Linked DNA regions of Styela clava. The protein of the gene in region 2 binds, or shares a complex with, the protein of the main gene of each other region. Links are inferred from orthologs where the notes say so. Each region holds a gene or a part of one and is shown on either strand. Other genes may lie near its edges. The genes, in order: uncharacterized protein LOC120338085 and RNA polymerase-associated protein CTR9 homolog.

Evidence for each region.
Region 1: RNA polymerase-associated protein CTR9 homolog (region 2) and uncharacterized protein LOC120338085 share a complex: the UniProt entries of both Caenorhabditis elegans proteins name them as parts of the PAF1 complex. The link is inferred for Styela clava from reciprocal best matches to the Caenorhabditis elegans genes ctr-9 and leo-1.

The regions. Positions count from the first base shown.
Region 1 is NC_135250.1:1,318,266-1,330,073, forward strand, and holds the start of uncharacterized protein LOC120338085, read left to right. Parts: upstream 1-6,252; 5' UTR 6,253-6,270; coding exon 6,271-6,393; intron 6,394-6,660; coding exon 6,661-6,766; intron 6,767-8,694; coding exon 8,695-8,751; intron 8,752-8,931; coding exon 8,932-9,087; intron 9,088-10,271; coding exon 10,272-10,489; intron 10,490-11,808. Other genes in the region: ganglioside-induced differentiation-associated protein 2-like, read left to right, coding at 1,070-2,683. UniProt on the Caenorhabditis elegans protein: Component of the PAF1 complex which is a multifunctional complex involved in transcription initiation via genetic interactions with TATA-binding proteins, elongation and transcription-coupled histone modification.
Region 2 is NC_135263.1:4,073,667-4,085,465, forward strand, and holds RNA polymerase-associated protein CTR9 homolog, read left to right. Parts: upstream 1-5,689; 5' UTR 5,690-6,208; coding exon 6,209-9,257; intron 9,258-9,651; coding exon 9,652-9,854; 3' UTR 9,855-10,715; downstream 10,716-11,799. Other genes in the region: polyisoprenoid diphosphate/phosphate phosphohydrolase PLPP6-like, read left to right, coding at 3,924-4,541; leucine-rich melanocyte differentiation-associated protein-like, read right to left, coding at 11,784-11,799. UniProt on the Caenorhabditis elegans protein: Component of the PAF1 complex which is a multifunctional complex involved in transcription initiation via genetic interactions with TATA-binding proteins, elongation and transcription-coupled histone modification.

The DNA.
Region 1 (11,808 bases), on a different chromosome or scaffold from region 2:
AGGATGATTAACTACCAGGAACTTCTGTATTACACACAACTACCGTACCCCGCATGGGATGCGAACCCACGCAGGTTAATCAGAGATGTGGCGACGAGCGTATTCCTAACGCTTAGCACGATGAGGCACACCGCCGCGTTTATTCTGTGGTTTTTTAGATTATGTTGATGTGGTGTTGCCAAAGTGTTCCGTACGGTACCGGTACGGTACTAGACTCCAACGAATTCCATACATATGCAACATACATTAATTTTGTGAATTTCTGTTTTGGGTTCTATCCATGGTACGGTACCGGTAAAAACTCATATTTTATTCCAAGAGCTGACACAAAATTCTTCCAAAAATCAATCAAGTTCACTGGTCCAAAAAATTTGGATCAAATTCCTGAATCTATTAGATTGGCTTCCATGTGAAATTTAAAAAAAGTTACCTAAATTTTCTTGTTAAGGATTACTAGAGTATAGTTATAATATTCAATAATGATAAAAACATGTAACTGCCCATCATATAATTGTCACATAGCCACTGTTTGCTTACTATCTTTCAATTTTCAAGTTAATTTTGAATAATTTTCTACATTTGAGTTATTTTTTCTGGTAACTATTATTTTTACATTATTATTTGTATTGAGAGTATACTTCGTTTAAATATTTGGTAGTTACTAGTCGACGGTTACTTTATATATTTTTTCTCAATAATTATTTGGCTGGAATGGGTGGTGGGCGGTGGGCGGTGGCTGACTTTGATGAATTTTGGTCGTATCGCCATCTCCCAGTCTATACCAAAATAAATGCTGTGTAATTTATTATTTTAAAATTTATTTGTATTAATGTATTCTGATTGACAAAAATAATAAACTCTCTCTCTTTCCGGCGGCTAACTTTTAAAACTATTTTCTTTGACTATGTTTGGTTAGGTCATGTCTCGCTTTTCTTTAATGTAGTTAAACCAAATTAAAACTAAAACTATAATTTTCAAACTTGTTTCAGTCCTGTAATCAGTAAATTTTACTTATAAAATGGATATTATTAGCTAATATGTTTTAACAATCTGCTTCATATATGACTGTATGATGGATCCATTGGGTGCGATATGCGGGACTCGAGATTGTGTGGTCATTGACGATTTAGTGTCTTGGCAAAAGACTTGTGAGAGTTTACATGGAGTTGATGATGCTACGTCTGTGGACACTGAAAATACAGACAATTTAAAGTTGGAATATCATTTTCGAGAGGATATAAATTCAAAAATATTTCTTTGGAATGGAGATATAACAAAGGTAGCAGTACAAGCATTGATTCTTCCAGTTTACGAAGTTTTAAGCAAATCTTCCCCACTTTCGCAAAATCTTCAGTATTCTGCTGGTCCAAGACTAATTGCAGACGTGCGTAAAATTATCGGGCTTCGAACTAGCGAAGTTCGTGTTCTGCCTGGATATAATTTACCAACGAGATATGCAATTCATACTGTGGAGCCAAGGTATAATCCAAAGTTTTATTCAGCGGCTGATACAGCATTACATATTTGTTATAGAACAGCCTTGCAGGTTTGCGCTGAAAGGGGGCTTCGTACTGTTGCAATTTCACCCTTGCATATAACAAGGAAGGGTTTTCCTCTTGTAACAGGAAGTCATATTGCTTTGCGGACAATTCGGAAATGTATCGAAATGTTGGGAACAAAATTTGATGCCGTTATCATAGTAACAGACCCAACAGTAGTAGATTCCTACTCAAAGCTATTTCCAACATATTTTCCGAGATCTGTAAATGAGGCGCATGCAGAATTAAAAAATGTACCCAACAACGTTTTTTGCAACGAGTGGGGGGAACTATTTCAAGAGGAACGAGCTATTCGGATCGCTGATATATCGGAAATACAACCTGAAGAAAATCAAAATGTCATGCATGATTCAGAAGTTGATGACAACATTAAAAATAATTCTGAAATTGTAATTGACGAACGAGTGACTCAGCATTCTTTTGCTCAAATGTCAGGCGACCATGACGGAAAACGTCGATTCATGATGCTATACAGTATGCAGAGACAGACGCTGCAATCCCAGGAAAGGATTTACCAAAGGCTGTTACGAATTTCTAGAAATGAGAATTTTTCAAAATTTTCTTTACTTGGTGCAATTAAAATTTCTGGAAGAGATGTAAACGGCAATGTTGTTATTTCAATAATTGGAAAACACCTCAATTTTTATGAGATTGATTTAGAAAAGTTTCTTTTATACCTCATTTTGACCTTTGACCCTATTGTGAACAATCCGTACACTGTTGTGTACTTTCACACGCAGACGCTAGAGTTCAATCGACCTACTTCAGAATATTTGAAGAAATTATACAATACTTTTGATTATCGCTATAAATCGAATCTTTCTAGATTATGTATGGTCCATACCAACACGATGATGAAAATTACAACTTGGATTTTTGCGTCATTTTCCGTCAGTGACCTCAAAAGTCGGATTATGAATATTCGATCAGTGCCGGAATTGTATAAAATCGTCCCACCGAATCAAATTGATGTTCCCCCGTTTGTGTTGACCTATGATATGAAAACGAATCCTCAAGCCTACAGTTCTTCTCCTACGAGAAGTCCAACAAATTCATTGGGACAAAGGAATGCAAAACCTACTAGAGTGTCAGACTTCAACCAAGTTGCCCATGGAACACTCTGACTTTATTTTCACGAAGGGCTGTTACTTTGTTACATGAGTTAGTTAGGCCAGTGGTTCTCAAACTTCCTTAATCCATGACCCCTTCCCAAAGACTATCAACACTTCATGGTTTCCCTGCTCTTTTCAGTATAAAAATAGTTTATTTTTAACAGGTTTTATCAGTTATTCGCTTCATCATGTTCAATGAAGCCAACAAAGGAAAGCAAACTAATAAATGCTTTACGTTCGAAGATTTAAACAATCACAGTTTATTTTCTATGTCTTAATGTGGCGAATGCTACCTTATAAAAGTCTTTGCTTTGGTCTTCATAGTACTTCTTCATGTAGGACTGTAAGGGTCCAATTTGAGTTTGGCCTATGTGTTATTTTGCTAAATCAAATCACTGTTTTTTTTGGGAGAAAAATCACTTATTATTCTTCAAATACTGGCCCCCCAATCTGATTTCCATGAAGTATAATTTCTCAGCCATACAATTGACAGCAACCATTTTATTATCTTTTTTAATCCTTGGTGCATTTTCATTGCAATTGACTTGAGATTTTTCCTAAATTTACAAGTTTTTTTGTTTCTATACTATTTTTCTATCAATGGGATTACGATTATGTTGCATGGACATATCTTAAGTTTAGTATATCTTATCCAAACTTGAAAGAAAACATGACGAAAAATAACAGCATTCTGTACTTGTAAATTATATTTGGTTTTTCTGGCCAGTCATGCACCATTAATTTTAGTAGGCTATTAGAGAAATTGCAATAGTTAGTAAATCAAGCCAGACTTCAGCTGCCCCACAAATGTTTTTAGTTTTAATCAACTGGAAATATTTTACTCGTTCACTTAAGTCGTTCCCAACCTTGTTTGTTAAACTAGCAATATAGGGTGTTCATAAAGTCTTCTGAATTTTTTTAAAATTGCAGAGGGTATTTATCGATACCATATATTGTTTTGCCCTCACAGATGTATTAAATGAAGTAAAAGTACTTGAACAATTACTGATTAACATACAACAATTTTGGTTAAGATATATTGAGAACTGACTTCATTACAGAATTGAAAATTGTAAAAGGAATTATGGACAACCTGTACTGCAGCACATACAAATTCTTCCCTAAGAAAGACAAAATTTCTCACAGGGTGGAAATTGAAGTATTTCTGCATATTGTTTCAGTTTGATAGTATAAAACCTCATATATTTTCAAATTGAGCAAATCTTGGATTGAAATAAGATAGAGCAACTGAATAATAGTTCAACCCAACTTTTTCATATGTTTGTTTAATGCAAAGTCACAAGTCTAACAGGAAAGTAACCAAACCTGATATTTTGTGTGAATCAATGTCCCCAAATATTTCTAAAAAATTTTATGTTGATCCATATTTTTTGTGTCAAATTATAGTCATATTAATTACCATTGTTGCATCATGAATAGTTTCATTATGAGCTGTGAACTTAAATCCTGTGACATCATACGTATCCAATTATTGTGCAATATTACATTATATCATGTTGGGTTCTGTAGTTTATACGTACTACACTCCTTTTTATCTGTGTTTGAGCAGTATTTGAATATTTATATTCATATCTAAATTTGCTTAACTGTAATGCAGTGGTTTCCAAATTGCGGCGTAATAAAGGCTCATGTAAGGATTTGATATGGCCCGCTGAAATAGTTCAACACCCCAATTGTTATGTCATCATCACAGTTTAAGCATGTGTATATTAGTAGCAATTCACTTATACCGGTATCTTAATTATACAAGCCGTTATCAACCTTTTGTGGGCGTTCCCCTTTCCCGCCCCGCAAATTTCATTCCGCTTCTAATTTTGGCCCCTCAGAATACAAATTTCTCTTTTTCTATGAAGACTACCGTATATGCTCGTTTTACTGCCCGATCTTGATTAAGGGCCCGTTTGAATAGCTGCCCGTGTGAACAGAACATAAAAATAAATAAGAGCCGGTGCTTGAATACCCACCCGATGTAAAAGCTGATTTTTCAGTGGTAGAGAACAATAGGAAATAAGAAGCGCTTTTGTCACAACGCTGTTGAATTTTGGGCGCCGGTAGATAACACTCACGCGTTAGGCGTCCGAGTACATAACAGATAGCATTGATTACATAACACCATGGTTCTCAAACTGGGTGTCGCGTCCCAAGTGCAATATTGATAGGGCGTCGCAAAGCTTTTCTTTTGCGGATTTGTACCTGCGGTCCGTAGAAAAAGTCAAAGTTTTCGTTGTTCTTGTTTAAATCATACTTGAGAACTGGAAATAACAATATATTAATTATTGTAACGATCGAAAATAACAAGCGCCCGTGCTTGAATAAGGGCCCGGTTAGTGAGTTGGTTGAAAACAATATGGGCCCGGGCTACGGAATGAGCAAATACGGTATATTCTGTTTTGCATTGATAGCCTTTTGATTAGGCCTTCTCATATTCTTATCATTTTCTGGCTCAGGCGCCAATACTATATTCTGTGGCATTTACGGCCTTTTAATTGAGCCGTCCTATAGGCTTTCTTTCCCCCAAAATAAAATGGGAAAAAAGAAGATTATAATTCAAGTTTAGGCTCCTTTACCATATTCTGTATTCCATTAATTGTCCTTCAATTGAGCCATTTTACACCTTTCCTCTCCTCAAGATATAAATTGAAAAAAGTGCTCTACCGGCTTTCCACCCCTCAGAATAATTATGAAAAGCAAATAATTCTGCCTTAAGTGCCGTTGCTGTACTCTATTCATTTTTTTTCTCGATTAAACCATATTATTTACTTTTTCCACTCTTCTGTCTAAATGACATAGAGTCTAATTGATTGTGATCCAGTGGTTCTCAAACTTTGTGAAACTTTCTCTTCTTAGAATTAGTCAAAAGTTATGCCCACCTCAAAAAATAATTTGCTAAAATGCAAGTTGTAGTAACAGTAAATAACATAAAGTAAGGCGAAAGTATGTTTTATTCAAAAAACATGTTGAAAATATGTGTACTTACTAAAGAAATGTATAGAATAAAGAAATATGAATATCAATATTAAGGCAGGCAAGATCAAACCTAACAAATATTTTTATCCGCAATTGGGCCATTCCAAGCAAAAGTTGAATTCCATCAATTTTTTTTCAAAAGTGTAGTGACACAAAGTGTTTGATTGTGTGATACAGTTATTTCATATGAAATAGACGCACTGAATTTAGGTTAATAAAGTTTAAATGTTTGCAGTGCTGTAAGACATTTCCTCACCCATTCAACGATTTATTACCAGAATTTTAGGAGAAGTTGCATCTATATATTGCATCTAACAACATGCAAAATTTCTGGAATTGTCATGTAGTGTCACTTGGAATAGCCCAATTAGCTTCACTCCTACTTACCCCTTGTGGGGTGTGCCACCATTTGAGAACCACTGGTGTGATCTGTCTACTATCTGTAAACCATTTCACTGATAACTTTGCAAGCTTTTATGTTAAAAACCTTTATTGACTGATTATAATCACTTTCTTATGAATTGAATGTAAAATTGTTTATTTTTTGTATAAAAACCATGATTTGAATTTTGATTTTGCATTTAAGACCTTTAGTGTAAAATTTATATATAATGGACGAAGAATTATTTGGGGAGGGAAGTAGCAGTGAGGAAGAGCATGAAGAGGGAGTAGAGAACACAACAGAACAACAACAAGAAAGTGCAGAAGAAGAATCAAGTGATGGCGGAGAGGAGGTTAGGAGTTGTATGTTGGAACATGGTATCCCGTCCAGTTGAATAGGGGATCACGATACCCATCAGTGATTTATTTCAGATGCATGGACTTGATGGTGGAGAAAACTGCAACTGACAAGCATTCAATGAACCACCCTACTACGGAGAGAAGTCTAGCAATCTTCTTGCACATAATTACTGCCACAAGATTAAACAAAATTACTCACGCAACGTTGTATAATAATTTTTGGTTACCCATAAAAGATTCATTGTTTTTCTATGTTTTAGGAGGCTGACCAGAATGTGGCAAGTGGAAGTGGATCTGAAGCAGAGTCAAAGGAAAGCTCGGCAGAAGAAGAAAAAAGTGGGGAGGAGAGTGCAGGCGAGCAGGAAGGTAAAATAGAGGGAAATGCTCTAATACAGTGGTTTCATATTTTCATGATTCGTGGCCCCATCGAAGACTCTCAATGCTTGGGACCCCCTTCTCTTCCATAAAAACATCTAGTTTTGCTTTTAACTGGTTCATCTGTTTAATATCAAAAAGCCAATAAATAAAAGTGAGGAAACATTTGCATTGCAGTCAGAGAATATAAAATTGCAATCACATTTCATGTGAATATTCCCTCAAATTAAAATAAAACAGCAAAATTTTTGGTAAAATTCTGAATTCTTGATATAATTTTCAGAAATTGAAGTCTCATAATATTGCCAACGGGCCATTATCTTGGAATTCTTGGAAACTCATAAGAGATATAAAACTAATCAAAATTCAGATTCAAACTTTGTAAATAAACATTGACTACTATGTGTTCTTTTGACAGACTTCAGAATATATTCTATTTTCCATGATTTCAAATTTTATTTTAGAATGCATTTGAACTCATTAATTACTTTGTTTTAAAATTTCACATGACATAACACTATCATGTTGTCGCGAAAAATGCCTTCAATATTTGACATTTCATTGCTCGTGATTGATTACCTATGACATAATAACTATAAATGTCAAAAGATAGTGGGTGTGAGTTGTGATAGCATAATGCTAATTAGCATTTGTTTATGACAAAACAGTCATGCATTAAAACTTTTAACCCCATGGTATTACGTGAATGAATGAATCTAAAATCATACGACAACGGGAAATGTATTGTTATGTGTGTGTACAAGGATGGCTAAAACTGAATTGAATTGAGCCGTGGTGACAATAAATTCTATACAGTAATGGCTTAGTAATGGATCCACATTTTATGATAAACTCTCCATTGTTTCCATTTCTTTCATCTCGTGCAATTTATGATAAACAGCTCAAGTTTAAACGAAGTTTATGTGTGTCATTCACTAATTTTTTAACCTTCTGTTACCTAATTATTTCGTGTCGTGGTCCCAACCCAAGTACAAATCTTTGCGTGTTTCATGAGATTTATTGTAAAAACATCAATTGGCGATTAATTCCCTATTTTCCCATTGGGGCATGGACATGTCATAAACTTACTATTGTGCATATCGTCGTTGTGTCGTACCTCTTTGTCTTGTGTATTAAACCAGAGTTTTATTTGTATATTTCATGTCTGTTGTCCTACTATAACGCAGCAGTCCTAAACTGCTGTTATACTTGTTAGGGGTGCTACACATCCGTGTGTTAGGCCAGTAAGGTCTTGTACACGTATCTCGTCTTTGTTTTACTGTTTAACTATTATGCAGGTACTGTTACATTTTTGAGGCAAGTAAACATACATACATACAACTATTCCAGCCTACATTTAAAAATAGTAGTATGTAATATTCCAAGTATTTTAAATGAGCCATGTTTAATTAAGAATATACAAAAGCCAATATGGTTGTTCAATGGTATACAGACGTTCCGTCCGTTTTTAAGCGTTTTAGCAGTGTTCTTGGTGTTTTTAGACGGTTTTTCACTGTTTTTAAGCGTTTTAGCAGAGTTCTTAGTGTTTTTAGACAGTTTTTCACTGTTATTAAGCGTTTTAGAAGGGTTATTGATGTTTTTAGACGGTTTTTCACTGTTTTCAAGCGTTTTAGAAGGGTTATTGGTGTTTTTAGACAGTTTTTCACTGTTTTTAAGCAGGCTTTCGCGCAAGCTGAAGTGAGGAGATACATTTATCAACAATGCAATAGTAAACCATGTTTGAAGTTAAAGTTTAACTAAACAACTTCATGTACGGACCTCAAGCAAATAAGTGATTAATTATACCCATACCCAACCTGATATCACAATAGGGTCATTTTTTTTAAACTTTGCTCGTCTTGGAATGAAAATCTTATTCGCTCATTTAAAGGTTTTTTAAAACCTATCATTTTACACAGCGAGTGATGAAGAAAATGCTGAAGAAACCGAAGACAAAGAAACTCAAGAAGCATCAGGTATTTATATTACCGGTTAAACAAACTTAAAAAATATTAGTAAAACTACACACAAATATAGAGTACACCCCCCCCCCCCAAAAAAAAAAAAACATTTAGATTTAGATAGATGACTGTAGGGAAACGCTGCTGAGCCCGATTTGTTCATAAGAAATCTTAATATTCTCAAATTTGTTTCAGGCAATGATAGTTCTGATGGGGAGGAGGAGGCGGAAGGGGCTGCAGAGGCTTCAGGGGGAGAAGAAAGTCCTACAGCAGCACAAGAAGAATCTGATGAAGGTGGGAGTGAAGCTGGAGGGGAAACCCCTGTACACTCAGATTCTGATGGTGAAGCAGGTCTGTGCTGGTTTTGTGCTTAATAATATGATATTGATTAATATTTTGTAATACTTACGAGAGGCAAAATCGGGCCCAAAAATTTCAGCTCGGCCCAGGTCCGCTGGTATTAAACCCGACCCAGCCCGAGCATGACTAATTAACTGGATTTGCAGGCTTGAAGCAAACCCAAACTTTTATTACTTATCGATCTTAAGATCGGTAAGTATGTTGATAGGTATTTGTCTGTATGTTAGATGCATGCGATATTTCACGAAAGCGAGGTTGAATCTGCTCCAAATTTTGCATGTGCATTCATCATAGCTCGGATCAGAAGCCTATTGATTTTGGATGGATTATGTCTTATAATTAGCGAGTTATTAATTAATTAGTGATGGGACACACGGTGTCACTATGGAGTAAGACCACTGTTTTGGGGGATCCCCTAACCTTCGATCGATAAGTCTTCGGTTTCTAACCGATATTCTAGTTTAGGTGTTCTTTGAATTGTCATTGCAAGAGTTTAGTACAGTATGTTTTATTACAAGTATTCCCTAGTTTAGTCTCCACACATAGTTTTAGTATATATTTTTTATAAACATATATTTATTAAAAAATGAAAAGTCAGCAATAGAGAAAGCCGGCCCGATCGTAATGATTGACAATTCAGGCCAAATTTGGGGTCAGGCTAAGGCTTCAGATCTTAGCTCCAATACTCACACAACTGAAATTTGTTTCACTCTGAACAGGACTCGCAGCAGCAGTTATAAAGCAGCGCTGATGTGTAAAAAAATAGCTCTTAGGTGTAATCAGTCTGTGGAAATTTTGCTACCAAATTTAATATGGTTTAATATTTTGTATAATGATTCTTTGTTTATGAGGCGTTTTCAAACTTATACTTTACCCAAAGAATCTTCTGAAGTAAGATAATAGTATTTGTAGGGGATCTTCTGAAAAACATGCAAAAACCTTGAAAAAACGTCCAAATTTCATGAAAAACTGTGTTAAATCACCAAAAAGATATATTTTAAGTTCGGCCATAAGTGATTGAGATGTTAATAGGGTGGACATTGATTATGAAAGTTTGAGAACTACTGTGCAAGGCGCCACGTCTATTCAGCATAGATACACCAGCTACAGTTCAATAGCTGTGAAAAAAGTCATAAACTATTGAATACCTGGTTTCAATATTTTAAAAATTTCAGAACAACTTGAAACATCTGCTGACGCTGCAAAATCTGAGGAAGAAGACAGTGATGGGGATAATAAAGAAACAAAGGAGACTGCTGAGAGTGGGAGCGAAGAGGAAGAAGATAATAAAGAAACAAAAGATTCTGATTCTGGGAGTGATATTGGTGGGAAAAGACCAAAATTAACTGGAGGAAGTGACGCAAGTTCAAGTGATGAAAATGCTGGAGACCCGGTTAGTGATAACTTTTCTTTGTGAATGTTGAACTTTGAACTATGGATCATTGTTCTGAGACTGAGTTGGTAAATACCTCATTTTCTAAAGACGATTTGCTCCTAACAATGTTACACTCACTTACACAGATATAAAGAAAGACTCATCTCTGAGTTAATTGACTGCAGACTATTAAGATCGCAAGAAGTAAAATTATATAGATTCATGTTAGTGCATTATGCCCCACTAAATACTTATTCAAGCAATTTTTCATGTCAATTTTATGAGGTAAAAATAATCCAATCAGCTCAACAATTTAAGTATTATGGTAATAATGTAGAAAAAAATAGTACAAAGCAAAATCTCTCCGCAAGAGCAACAAAATTTCTTTGTTGGGAGTAATTGCTGTTCAATTGGGAAACGTGGCTCATGGTAGACCACTATGTATTTTTATCATAATTTGTCACAACATGGAATTTCTACAATTTGTATGCTGAATTGAATTTTATTCTTGTAACTTATGGGTATTCCCATAGTATGTGTACCAGGTTAGGGTAAGGCCATAATTTTATTCCGATTTTTCTTAGTTCTATTACGAGTTCGGGGACTGTTCGTATTAGCCAAGTGAATATACCCCCTGCCCATAGGTTTCAGTCCCTTTACACAACTTGATGTAAAGTAGGCGAACAAAATTAGTTATCTCCATATCGGTACGCATACTTCTAGAGCGCTAACTTATGCCCATATGCAGGGTTGTCCAGAACGAATCGAATATTCGAATGTATTCGAATATCAAAGTATTCGAATACCTTTTCGGCTGATTTTCGAATAATTCCGAATAGTAGCCACTTTTCGCCGTAAACGTGGTGTTTCGTTTTACGGGAATATTCAAACGACTTTTTACGCTGTCTCACTTATTGTAATGACGATGAAATAGAATCGGCATTTTGATTGTTTATATCCTGTGCGACCGTACGTCGCATAGTGTTGCGACATATTTGCACGTTTGCGCGGGTGGACATTGCCGACATTCGTCTACGAGGCTTTTAATTTACAAATTCATTTCCATCACGTCAAAAATTCGTCTAATGAGTCGCTTTTCTAGGCGGGGTGGGGGCGTCTAATTGAGAAAGTATGTTTATTTTATTTCGATGTGGCCTGCTTATTATTCGCATGAGTCTTCTCAAACATGATTTGTGTAACCTTATATTTGGGTCTTAGGGTCTGCCAATCATGATATTTAATCGCAGGCCGGTTATCGTTACTTTAAAGAGAAACACGGCCACCGAGATAAAGTGATTTGTGACCCTTTCGTTTTGCCGATTCAGCAGAACACGACA
Region 2 (11,799 bases):
CCAGAGAGAGTGTCTTCTGATTTCATTTAAATTGCTTATTAATTATAACTCGTACAAATCATCAATCGATGCGAGTGAAATCTACCATCAACAGACACTTTCATCGAGGCTAATTTGCCGGCGCTCCCGTAGTATTCGTACCAATATGGCGCACAACCTGCTAACCCTAACCTGGTACACATATTATGTACAGGTTGTGCGCCATCTTGGTACGAATACTACGTGAGCACCGATTTGCCGATACTCCCGTAGTATGTGAACATGGTTAGGGTTGGGCCATAATTTTATTTCGATTTGGTATTGACGTATATGGCTGATTTTAACTTCCTAATTATTAGCATCTGCAGTAGCCTACTTTAAAATGATCGAAGCTTGAATAGTATCAGACAGATGTTTCGTGGTGTCACATTGGATCAGATTAAAGTGGAGTGGTGTATATTAAGGAAATTTAAGATTACCTAAATAATTGCATGAGTAACAGTATAACTAGGCTTGCCATACGTACCGTTTTAGGCGGAACAGTCCCCCTTCTCAACGTTTGCCCCGTTGTCCCGGCCGGTCAGCCTAAAGTCCCGCTTTGGCGTTCAGCCAGTCTGCATAATATAAGACATTACCAATTAGCATGTTCTCGATACTGTTGTTGCGGTGTAGCGTACCGGTAGCCTACTTATAAAGGTGGATTTGTTTGTTTCGTTGTTTTCCGCTGATAATTGCTACAATTTGTTACGTGTAAACGCCAAAAGGACAAGGGTGCTTAACGTTAACGTAAATTCCTTTTTAGATAGACAGCGCATGCACTCTTGAAGACAACCGGGATGGTTTTGAATGTGGGCCCCTGATGTAAAATCGATGAATTTAAAGTTGAAAAATTCACAGCTGTGGTGGCGTCCGCTTTGAGGTCACAAAAATATGGTAACCCCAAGTATAACAATCATAAAAAGTGCTAATGTACTTAAAACAAAGCGATAAATTTCCCTCCTCAGTTCGCTCCAAATTCTGTGGGATCTCTGCAACAGGGAATTTTAATGAATATTCATAATGACACATTGAAATTTGTAAACAATATAGATGAGCTGGCATAATGTTGGAGACATGGTGCATGCACAAGACGATACTTTACTAAAACAAAAACGTGGGGCAATGCACCTCTTTCGATAAATATTCAAAATACCAAAAAGTTGAATGCAACTCACCAACTGTACTAGAGCAGGGTGTGCAGCATTTTTTGTCGGTGGGCCATATAACCAACTTCAGACATCTATCTGGGCCCTAAAAATGCGGATATCGCTTATCCTTAGCGTTATAGCAATAAAGGCATCGGGTAAATGGCGAAAGATCCAACGTGGGGGTGAAAGGAAAATAAACATAATGTATTTGATACCCATGTTAGCGTCTATGGTATAAGCCACGTAAGGGTGGTAGTATCCTTGGAACAAAATGTTTATTCTAGCTAAAATGAGGACAATCCAGAAGTATGTGTGCCAATATGGTGGTAACGAATTTTGTTTACCTACTTTACATCAAGTTGTATAAGGAGACTAACCCACACGAGTTAGGATAGGATTTACATATTCATCCCGGGGGAGGGGAAAGCCTATAATGTCTATGTGCATCAAAACCAGTCCAGCATACCACAATCTGACAAAAGAAACGATTCCAGATGGTTCGCGCGTAATTTCGACAAAAAAGAGGGACCTTTTCCCCCACGGCATAGATGTTTTCCTGACCTTTGACCTCCGAAAAAATTGAGACGTTCACTTTAGTAATTAAAATGAAAATTACCACTCGGTAGCAACAAATACCTAATATCAAAATACATTGTTAATACAATCAAAATTCACTGTCGTGACACAAATATAACTAGTAATTTTGAATATGTCTGTGGCCTACATCAAAATGTTTCCGTGGCCCAGCCACAGGCGGGCGTCATTTTTAGTACCGGTATCTATGCCATTGACATCGCAAACACTTCATTTCAAAACAAAACTAAAAATTTGTTGTGAACGAAAAAGTCATGAATGAAAGGGTTACCGATTTGACTGAAAGGGTTACCGATTTGACTGAAATCGCAGCTTTTTCGGGGCTAAATATTGCTAAGCTAAAGCTCCTAGGAAGACATATTCATGATTAAGTCATTTGACTTACAACTAATTTTTGGAAACACAACAGAAAACTGACGAATAAAACGCAAAACCAGGAGATGGAGGCAATACTTACAACCGTGCTAAAATATCTGGCCGGGAAGATGTGTTTGAGCGGCTACACAAATTGCAATTGTTACGTCATTGTTGACTTATTGCGGTCATTATTACGAGCATAAACAAGAAAATCGATGCTTGGAGAAACATCCATAGGCGTATAATAGTATTCGCTAGTTGAGGCTTTGCAATTGCTATAACCAGATAAATATTGATTTATAGATAGGATGAAATGGTATTTTTTCAATATTGTTCACTGCAATTATGTTTTATATTTTATAAAAATACATAAAAGGCATGTATCGAGTGATCTGGAATGACATTGTTATGTATTGTTTTTTGATCGATATTGTTTATTGCAATATTGTTTTATTTTATAAAAATCCAATAAAAAAAAAATATAACATCGGGTGCATTTTGGTGCGGCACCTTGCGGTATTTCAGTATTTATATTTTATTCCATATATAAAGTATATTTTTATTTACGTTACCGTACCGTAGTAAAAAATGCGAATTTATAAATATTGCGATGATCAATTTGTAGTTATAATTGACACGGAAATTGATATTTTCGAACTTATGGTTTGTGTGAATTGGGTGACAGCTGACTTCTGGTCACCACGCAGACCTCTCAGCTAAGCAGACGGTACCGTATCGCGTTTTCCTTGCCTGAAGCAGAATCGAGTACGGTATGGTACCGTACCGGTAACTCGTTTAGTATTGCTGTATTGGCGATTGCTTAAGATTGCATTGTCTGGGTGACTAATAACAGAATAATGTATCGGTAACTTATATAAGTTTGGGTTGAGTGAGCACGTGCATCAGTACCGGTACGTCTTGAATCTTATTTAGATTTTGCCCACTTTTCTGATTTTCCGTATATTTGTTTGTTTTGCCCAGTATTGCTTCATTGTTTTGTTGTAACGGAAAATCGAAATACACTCAACTACGGCACTTAGTTGTTCCAACTTCATAATCCAGTAATCAGAATAACAGACAATAAAATAATCGATAAAATAAAATAGATACAAAGGATAGGATAGGATAGGATTTACATATTTATCCCGGGGGAGAGGAAAGCCGATAAGACGGCTTATCCATATGGCGAACCACGGCCTCTCGTCCGGTTACCATTCCAAGTCGGGTATGGGATTAGTTTTTACTGTATTGTTTGTTTTTTTCGGAAGCATGGACTTGGTGGTGGAGGAAGCCGTAACCGACCAGCGGTTACGTGAACCACCCAACGACGGCGAGGAGTCCAGCAATCCTCTCGCACATAACCATCCCTGCATGGGATTCGAACCTGCGAACCCACGCAGAGTGATTAGAGGTGCGGTGGCGAGCGTATTCCTAACGCTTAGCCCGTTGAGCCACACCGCCGCGTCAAACTGATTACCGGTACAGATTCAGGAAAGCAAACAAAACAAAGTGCAGAAGTACGGTACCGGTAAAGTTAGAAATGTACGGTACAGATTTTAGATGGTAAGGTGTTGTCTAAAAAAGTGGTTATGGGTATGCCAGTATGCGTTCCCTCACCTGTTTGCTTACTTGTTACAAAATTCAGAAATTGTTAACACTGTAATATAATTTTTTAAGATAGAGTCTAGAAACACTGAAACACATTTACATTGTATAAGTTACTGTACATATCCTAGATTAATACCCTTTGCAACAAGATCTGGGCTTTTGATCAGAAACAAAAGTCCAAGATCAAAAAACTAAACCATGAAAGAAAAGGACGATGAAGGACCACAAAGCCATTCAACATGGGAAATAATGCATAAAACATTTGTTGCTGCTGATCTAAGTTTATCAAAGTCACTTGCTGTGAATGCAAAAGGAGGACGGCTTCGTCCTATAATGCAAATATTAGAACTTTCATGCCACGGAATACCATGGATAGCTTTTACTTTATACGTACTTTACAACACTCGAAATTACATGTACGAAGAGGTGTTTTTTAACCTTCTAATTGCGTTATTAATGGACCTTATCATCGTCGGAACTATAAAACTTATAGCACGAAGACGACGACCGGCCTATAACAAAGATGATATGTTTGCTACTGTATCTGTAGATAATTTCTCCTTTCCCTCTGGCCATGCCACCCGTGCTTACTTAGTTACTTGGTTTATTTTGTATCATATCAAACTAGCTATCCCTCTACGAGCCCTGTTACAAGTTTGGTGCCATGTTGTTGGAATATCAAGAGTTATACTTGGTAGACATCACATTACTGATGTTATAGCAGGGTTTATAATTGGTTATTTTGAATTTGTGTTGATTGAAAAATTTTGGATCAGTTATGAAAACTGCAATTTTATTTTGAGTTTTATAAAGTGATTAATTTATTTGTATGTTCTCTATTTGGTTAAAGTATACTTCAGCACAAGCCTAATGTTATCCAAATGAGATTATTCTGCTCGGTCATGCTTGTTATTATTCCTAGCAGTGATTCTGAAAAGAGTTTTAGTAATTATGCTAAACCTCATCCCTAACTAATGAATACCAATGTTGAGTAAAAGTGGCTGAACCCTGAATCACAGGTCATTGGAGTGTCTTCATCTAATCTAGTTCCGAAATTGATTCAATCATAGAGCTACATAAGTCTTACTGGCAGTTAATTGAATACGAGACCAAGTCAGTTCATTCAGACCAGTGGTTTCCAAAACAACGGATAAAAAATTTAATATGGCCCGCCAAACTTGAGTGAAATATTTTAACACCTTATGTGTCTCTAGATGTCGCCAATTGTGTATTCGTACATGTATATTCTTAACAATTCAATTATATTTGAAATATGCATATCGGTATTAGAATTACATATAGGTCATGCCCATGCAGGCGCTCCCTTCTTCCAGCCTGCGAATGTTCTTACATTTCTAATTTTGGCTTCTGAAGCTTAAAATGGCGGCATTTTCACGCACTCCCTAATTTAAATGAGATTATTTTGAGCTGTCATACTTCATTGGTTTTTAGTAACAGTTAATTCTGCTGCTGCTGTTATATTTTTATTTTCTTATAAATATATTTGATAACTATCAAATGTTTGTTGATTACTATAGATGAAATGTTGGTCTTCTTCATGCAGTTTTTATGCTCAATTTTTTCATATTCCAATAATATTATCTAACTGTGATATTTAGAATCTCTTGAGATTTTTAGGGGCAAAGTAAACCTGTTAATTGTTCAGAATATTCTTGTTGTGTGTGAAAATCACTTTCAAATATTCAGGGGTAAAAATCGAAGTGTGTTTTAATAGGCTATCAATTTTATCTGCTTTCTTACTTTCGCTGAGCTCTTAAGAGCCCTTGTTTGTCTCATCATATTTGGGCATTGCTTCTGGAGGATTTTACTGTCCGAATATACAGGGTATCCAAAAATTTTATTGCATGATAAACTACAAGCACAATGAAAAATATTAATAAACAAAAAAAAAGTAATCTGTTAATTGTTACTATAAAATCGAGCTAAATTTTTTCGGACACCATGTGCATTAGTTACCGTAGGTACTTAGCCATAAATACTTTTAATTTGTTTTCTAATACCAATCAATGAATTCACATAATCGAATAATTTATTAATTTTGAACTCTGCATTATCATCTTTATCAAACTTTTTATCAGGTATCATTATCAGAAATGTTATCATGGGTGAGATAAGAGACTGGTGGTCAGGTTTGACAGGAAGAAAGAAACTTGGATACGGAGTCTATGGTTTTATGATCGCCACAACTTTGGGATTGTACTTATTCAATAACAGAAAGTACGTCTATGATCCCAGTGTGAAAAAGAAAAAAACTGTCATTTCAAAGTGGGACCAGTAGTGGGAATCTTGGAGAGAGCGACTGAAATTACAATTATACTTAATACTAAGACTGTGTGAGGATTTTTCTTCACCCAAAATTGAATTGAGATTTCCGATTGTCAATTATTTAAACTTTGGTTGTTGATGTTGACAAAGCATTCTTGATTGACTTTTTGAAAAAATATTGAAATTGTGACATCATAATGTCTGTTGAAATCCCACTTCGTGACACTGATGAAGTCATTGAACTTGACTTGGCTCAATTGCCAGAGGGTGAAGAGGTTTTGGGAATTTTAAAACAAGAAAACACAACTCTGAATATATGGATAACATTGGCGCTTGAATACTACAAACAAACCAAAGTAGAAGAATTTGTAAAGATTTTAGAGTCCGCTCGAACGAATGCGAATCTCGAATATCACAATCATGAGAAAGACCAGATGACTTGCCTCGATACACTGGCTGCATATTATGTTCAACAAGCTCGTAAAGAAAAGAACAAAGATAAAAGAACTGACCTATTTATGCAAGCCACACAGCTTTATACCATGGCTGACAAGATTATTATGTACGACCAGAATCATTTGCTTGGTCGTGCTTGCTTTTGCTTGCTTGAAGGTGACAAAATGGACCAAGCTGACGCTCAGTTTAATTTTGTAATGAACCAATCACCAGATAATATTCCTTCTCTTCTCGGCAAAGCTTGTATTTCTTTTAATAAAAAAGATTACAAAGGCGCCTTGGCATATTACAAAAAAGCTTTGAGGACAAATCCAAACTGCCCTGCTGATGTGAGACTAGGAATGGGACATTGCTTTTACAAACTCAATAAACTTGACAAAGCAAGACAAGCTTTTCAACGCGCAGTAGATTTAGACCCGGTATGTGTCGGAGGTCTCGTTGGACTTGCTATACTTGATCTTAATAACAAGGACGTTGATTCGATCCGTGCCGGGATTCAGAGACTTTCTCGTGCCTATCAAATCGACGCTAGTAGCCCAATGGTGCTTAACCACCTTGCAAACCATTTTTTCTTCAAAAAAGATTACGAAAAAGTTCAACATCTTGCGTTGCATGCATTCCATAATACTGAAAATGAGGCTGTTCAAGCAGAAAGCTGTTATCAGTTGGCAAGAAGTTTTCACGTACAAGAAGATTATGACCAAGCTTTTCAGTATTATTACCAAGCAACACAGTTTGCAACTCCGAATTTTGTCATGCCTTATTATGGTTTAGGACAAATGTATATTTTCAAAGGAGAAGAACAAGATAAGGAAAGAGCTGCTGAATGTTTCGAAAAGGTGCTGAAAGCTTACCCAAACAACTACGAGACAATGAAAATATTGGGATCACTGTACGCTCAATCTGACAGCCCAGAAAAGCAGGGATTAGCTTGTAAGCATTTAAAGAAAATCACAGACCAATACCCTGATGATGTTGAGGCCTGGATCGAGCTTGCTCAGATATTAGAACAGTCTGACATACAGGGAGCTCTAGCTGCTTATGGAACTGCAACTTCTATACTCAAGGACACCGTACAAGCTGATATCCCACCTGAGATTTTGAACAATGTCGCCGCTCTTCATTTTCGTCTCGGGAATTTAAAAGAAGCGAAAAAGTACTATGAAGCTGCGATGGAGCGTGCAATGGCGGAAGCAGATCATGATGAGGTTTATTACCATTCCATAACAGTTACAATGCAGTACAATCTAGGGCGTTTGTGCGAGGAAATGTACCATTTCGAAACTGCTGTCGAACATTATAAAAATATTTTACGACACCATCCGAATTACACTGATTGCTATCTGAGGCTTGGTTGTCTTGCTCGAGACCGGGGTCAGATTTACGAAGCTTCTGAGTGGTTTAAAGAAGCTTTACAAATAAACCAGGATCATCCAGATGCTTGGTCACTGATTGGGAATTTACATCTTGCTAAACAAGAGTGGGGACCTGGACAGAAAAAGTTCGAAAGAATTTTGAAAAATGAGAAAACACAAAACGATGCTTATTCTATGCTTGCTCTCGGTAATGTCTGGCTTCAGACCCTTCATAACCCAACCAGAGACAAAGAGAAAGAAAAACGCCATCAGGACCGCGCTCTCGCCATGTTTAAACAAGTTTTAAGAAATGATCCGAAAAATATCTTTGCTGCGAACGGAATAGGATCTGTACTTGCACATAAAGGTTACATTCGGGAGGCTCGGGATATTTTTTCACAAGTTCGTGAAGCAACTGCTGAAGTTGCGGATGTCTGGCTTAATTTGGCTCATATTTATGTTGAGCAAAGGCAATATATAAGTGCCGTACAGATGTATGAAAATTGTCTCAAGAAGTTCTACAAACACCACGACCCTGAGGTACTAACTTATCTTGCAAGAGCTTATTTCAAATGCAACAAGTTGACTGATTGTAAGAAGGTACTGATGAAAGCGAGGCACGTAGCTCCAAACGACATGGTTGTGCTTTATAATGTTTCGGTCGTGATGCAACAGTTGGCAATGAACGTTTTGAGAGATGAAAAAAGTAATTTGAAGACTGTGCTACGTGCTGTGACTGAACTAGAATTGGCACAAAATTATTTTACGTTTTTGAGCAAACATGGTGATAGAATGAAGCTCGATCTCAAACAATCTGAGAAAGAAGCAAGTAAGTGTCGAGATTTGCTGTCTCAAGCTCAGTATCACGTTTCTCGTGCGAGAAGGCAAGCTGAGGAGGAGAAAGCATTGCGTGAAGAACAGGAGAGAGAGCGAGCTTCACTGAGAGAGAAACAACTTGAAGAGGAACGGTCGCGCATCAAAGCACAGGAAGAAAAAATGAGAGCGTTAATGGAAAAAAGAGCGCAAATTAAAGAAAAAAGCAAATCAGTTGCACAGACCTTGGAATTGGATTCGGAACCCAAACGTAAAAAGAAATCAAAAAGCGGAAACAAAGCGACTGATCACTTCATTAACGACGGAAGTAGTGATGATGCTGGAATCATGCACGTTGAAGGTACTGCTGAGCCACTCACCAAAAAACGTAAAAAGAAACTAAAAACAAAAGGGGAGCGGGGATCAAAACCAGCAGGGAGTGGGGACAGTGATTCAGACAATGACAGAGGAAAGAAGACTTCTAAAAAGCAAGCGAAATCAAAGCCAGCTCCTGTGGATAAATTATCGATGAAACAAAAGATGAAGGTCAAGTCAAGGGCATATATTTCAGACACATCTTCAAGCAGTGGCGGAGAGGGCCCACCGGCAAACGATGCACCAGGTGAAAATATTTGCATATTGGATTTTATATATATATAAATTGGAAATTTTTTTGTGAGAATTATTTCAAAGAAAGGTAGCATGCACTTATGCTGATAGTACAACCACTCTTGCGTTATTGTGTAGGTTTATACTAGAGACTGATTGATTTTCTTCGGGGGAGATGATTTTGTGCGAGAGCATTGTTGGACTTTTGCTATCGCTGGACTAGTCATGTTTTACAGGTCGTTTCGACATCATTCAGGTTTATGTATACTGAAAGATCAACTTGTTAACTATTTTCCTATTAACCAGAATAGAAGTCGTGTTTTGCCATATTGTTACCCCATCGTATCAGTTTTCCTCTCCATAAGTATAAAAAATGTCTATCTTCATTCTAATTATTTGCATTCCAGGTGCAAGTGGTGGCAAAAAGCTGTTACAATCATCTAGTGAAGAAGAGGGATCACCTGCAGCCTACCCTATTGCAGCGAGTGGGTCAGAAAGCGAAGCAGCGGCACATAACCAGTCTGATGACTCATCGGAAAACAGAGCTTCCGAGGACAATCAACATGAGTCTGAGCAAGAAGCAGCGTCTGGCGCTGACTCCAGTGATTAATAGGAATGTTGATATTTGAATAATTCGGAATTAGATTTATTTTGTTGCAAATTTTGATGTATGTTTTTCTTCATGAATTTGAACCAGTTTGTTATTTCTTCTCAAAAGCTAAAATTTGAAATTAATAGTTTTGATCAGTTATCTCAATTCTCAAAAACCAAAAACGAAGTCCTTCGAAACCAAGAATTTTATATGTCAAAATTGTGTTAAAATATTTGACTCAAAACTGTTATTTATCTTCGAAATTGACAAATTTTGTATCAATGTTTTTAATGAATTATTCAAATTTTTGAAATACCATTTCAAAATAGAAATTAACATTCGAATAAGTACTTCGGACATCGCTCGAGCTTGATGCGTTAGTGTTTGGTTTAGTATTTTTTAAAAAACTTTTTGCGTGGGCCATTGGTTTGTTATGGATCCAACTTCATATGCTTGTCCAGCTCTATTCCCATCCATCTTAACATAAACATATCATTGATTTTAGTTATGAACTCATCCAATTGTCATTCGGATAGTTTTTGTGAAAAATTCTGATTTTGTTCCTATACATTCAAACGGTGGTACTCCTGAAGTATGCGCACCAAGATGTCACACAACCTGACCCCCAACCTGGTACACAACCTGGGTTCAGGTTGTGCGCCATCTTGGTGCGCATACTTCAAGAGGTCCCAAACGGTTTTGGTATTCTGAAATTCTGCAACAGTAATGGCGTGAACTGAATAGAATTTGATATAAATTTGATTTGTCACTATGGAAAATAACTTGAGAAAACAATAATTCCATTATTTATTTGAAATTTATTTAACTGACATCCCTGTTTACTACCAAGAAGATATTAATTAAGTGATCATATTCGAACTTACGCCCAGCCTTTTTTAAGACACCACCTTGTTCTCAGGAAGATGTAAACTTGGGCCCAATATTGTACTCTTGAGTGGCTCATGTGCTGGGGCCTTGCACACAACAAAAATCTTGTAGTAGTCCTAAATGAATACTCCCGTAGTGTGTGTACCAGGTTAGGGTTAGGCCATAATGTTACTTCGATTTTTCTTGTTTTAGTTTTATTCCGGGCTGTCTGTTAGCCACGTGAATATACCCCCTGCCCATAGTAATCAGTCCCTTTACTCAACTTGATGAAAGTAGGCTAACAAAATTAGTTACCTCCATATTGGTGCACACACTCCTTGAGCGCCCTCAATGAAATAATGCTTTATGCTGTTCTATGCATATGGTAGAGGAAGTGGATAACTCTGTCGTTTTCCAATACCTTTGAATGGGTGTGATGGTCAAGTTGAAACCCCATTCCTACCTACCGTACACTGAGGTTGTAATAAGGCCTTGCCAGAATAGCAAGATCCCAGTCCTTATTTAAATATAGCTCCCTTGTATCATAATCGGTAGCTTCTTTTGCATAGTCTTGTTCGAAGTAAACTCATGAAAATAACCCCTTTCTCTGCCCTGATATACTGTAAATGCTTTCAGCCCTGCCTTGATTGTTACCAAACATTTTTGTAAATTACAATGTATTGCTTGTTAAAATAAAATGAATTTCATAAAAAATATTTGTAATATTATAACACATAGGAACACGCTTTAAATGAGAAACATGTTGTCTGCCTCTGATAGGACATTTGCGCTTTATCCATTACACAATGTTGAGTAGATCAGAGACACAATGTTAAATCGTTTTGCTAAATTCTTGCTGTCGTAGTTGGAAAAAAAAATCACTGCTATCAGAAATCATTGGATATCAAATTCTTTCAGAAATAAATATAGGGAAATTTGCAGGGCGCTCAAATAGCATTTGAGCATCTTGAAATTGAGCATTTGATCAGGGTGACACGCGAAAAAGTATTTGATGTTGATGAAATATAAGGTTCAACGCCTTTTTATTCGAACTCTTAGCCTATGAGACGTTTTTATCTGTCAAAGGTTGTTGTTT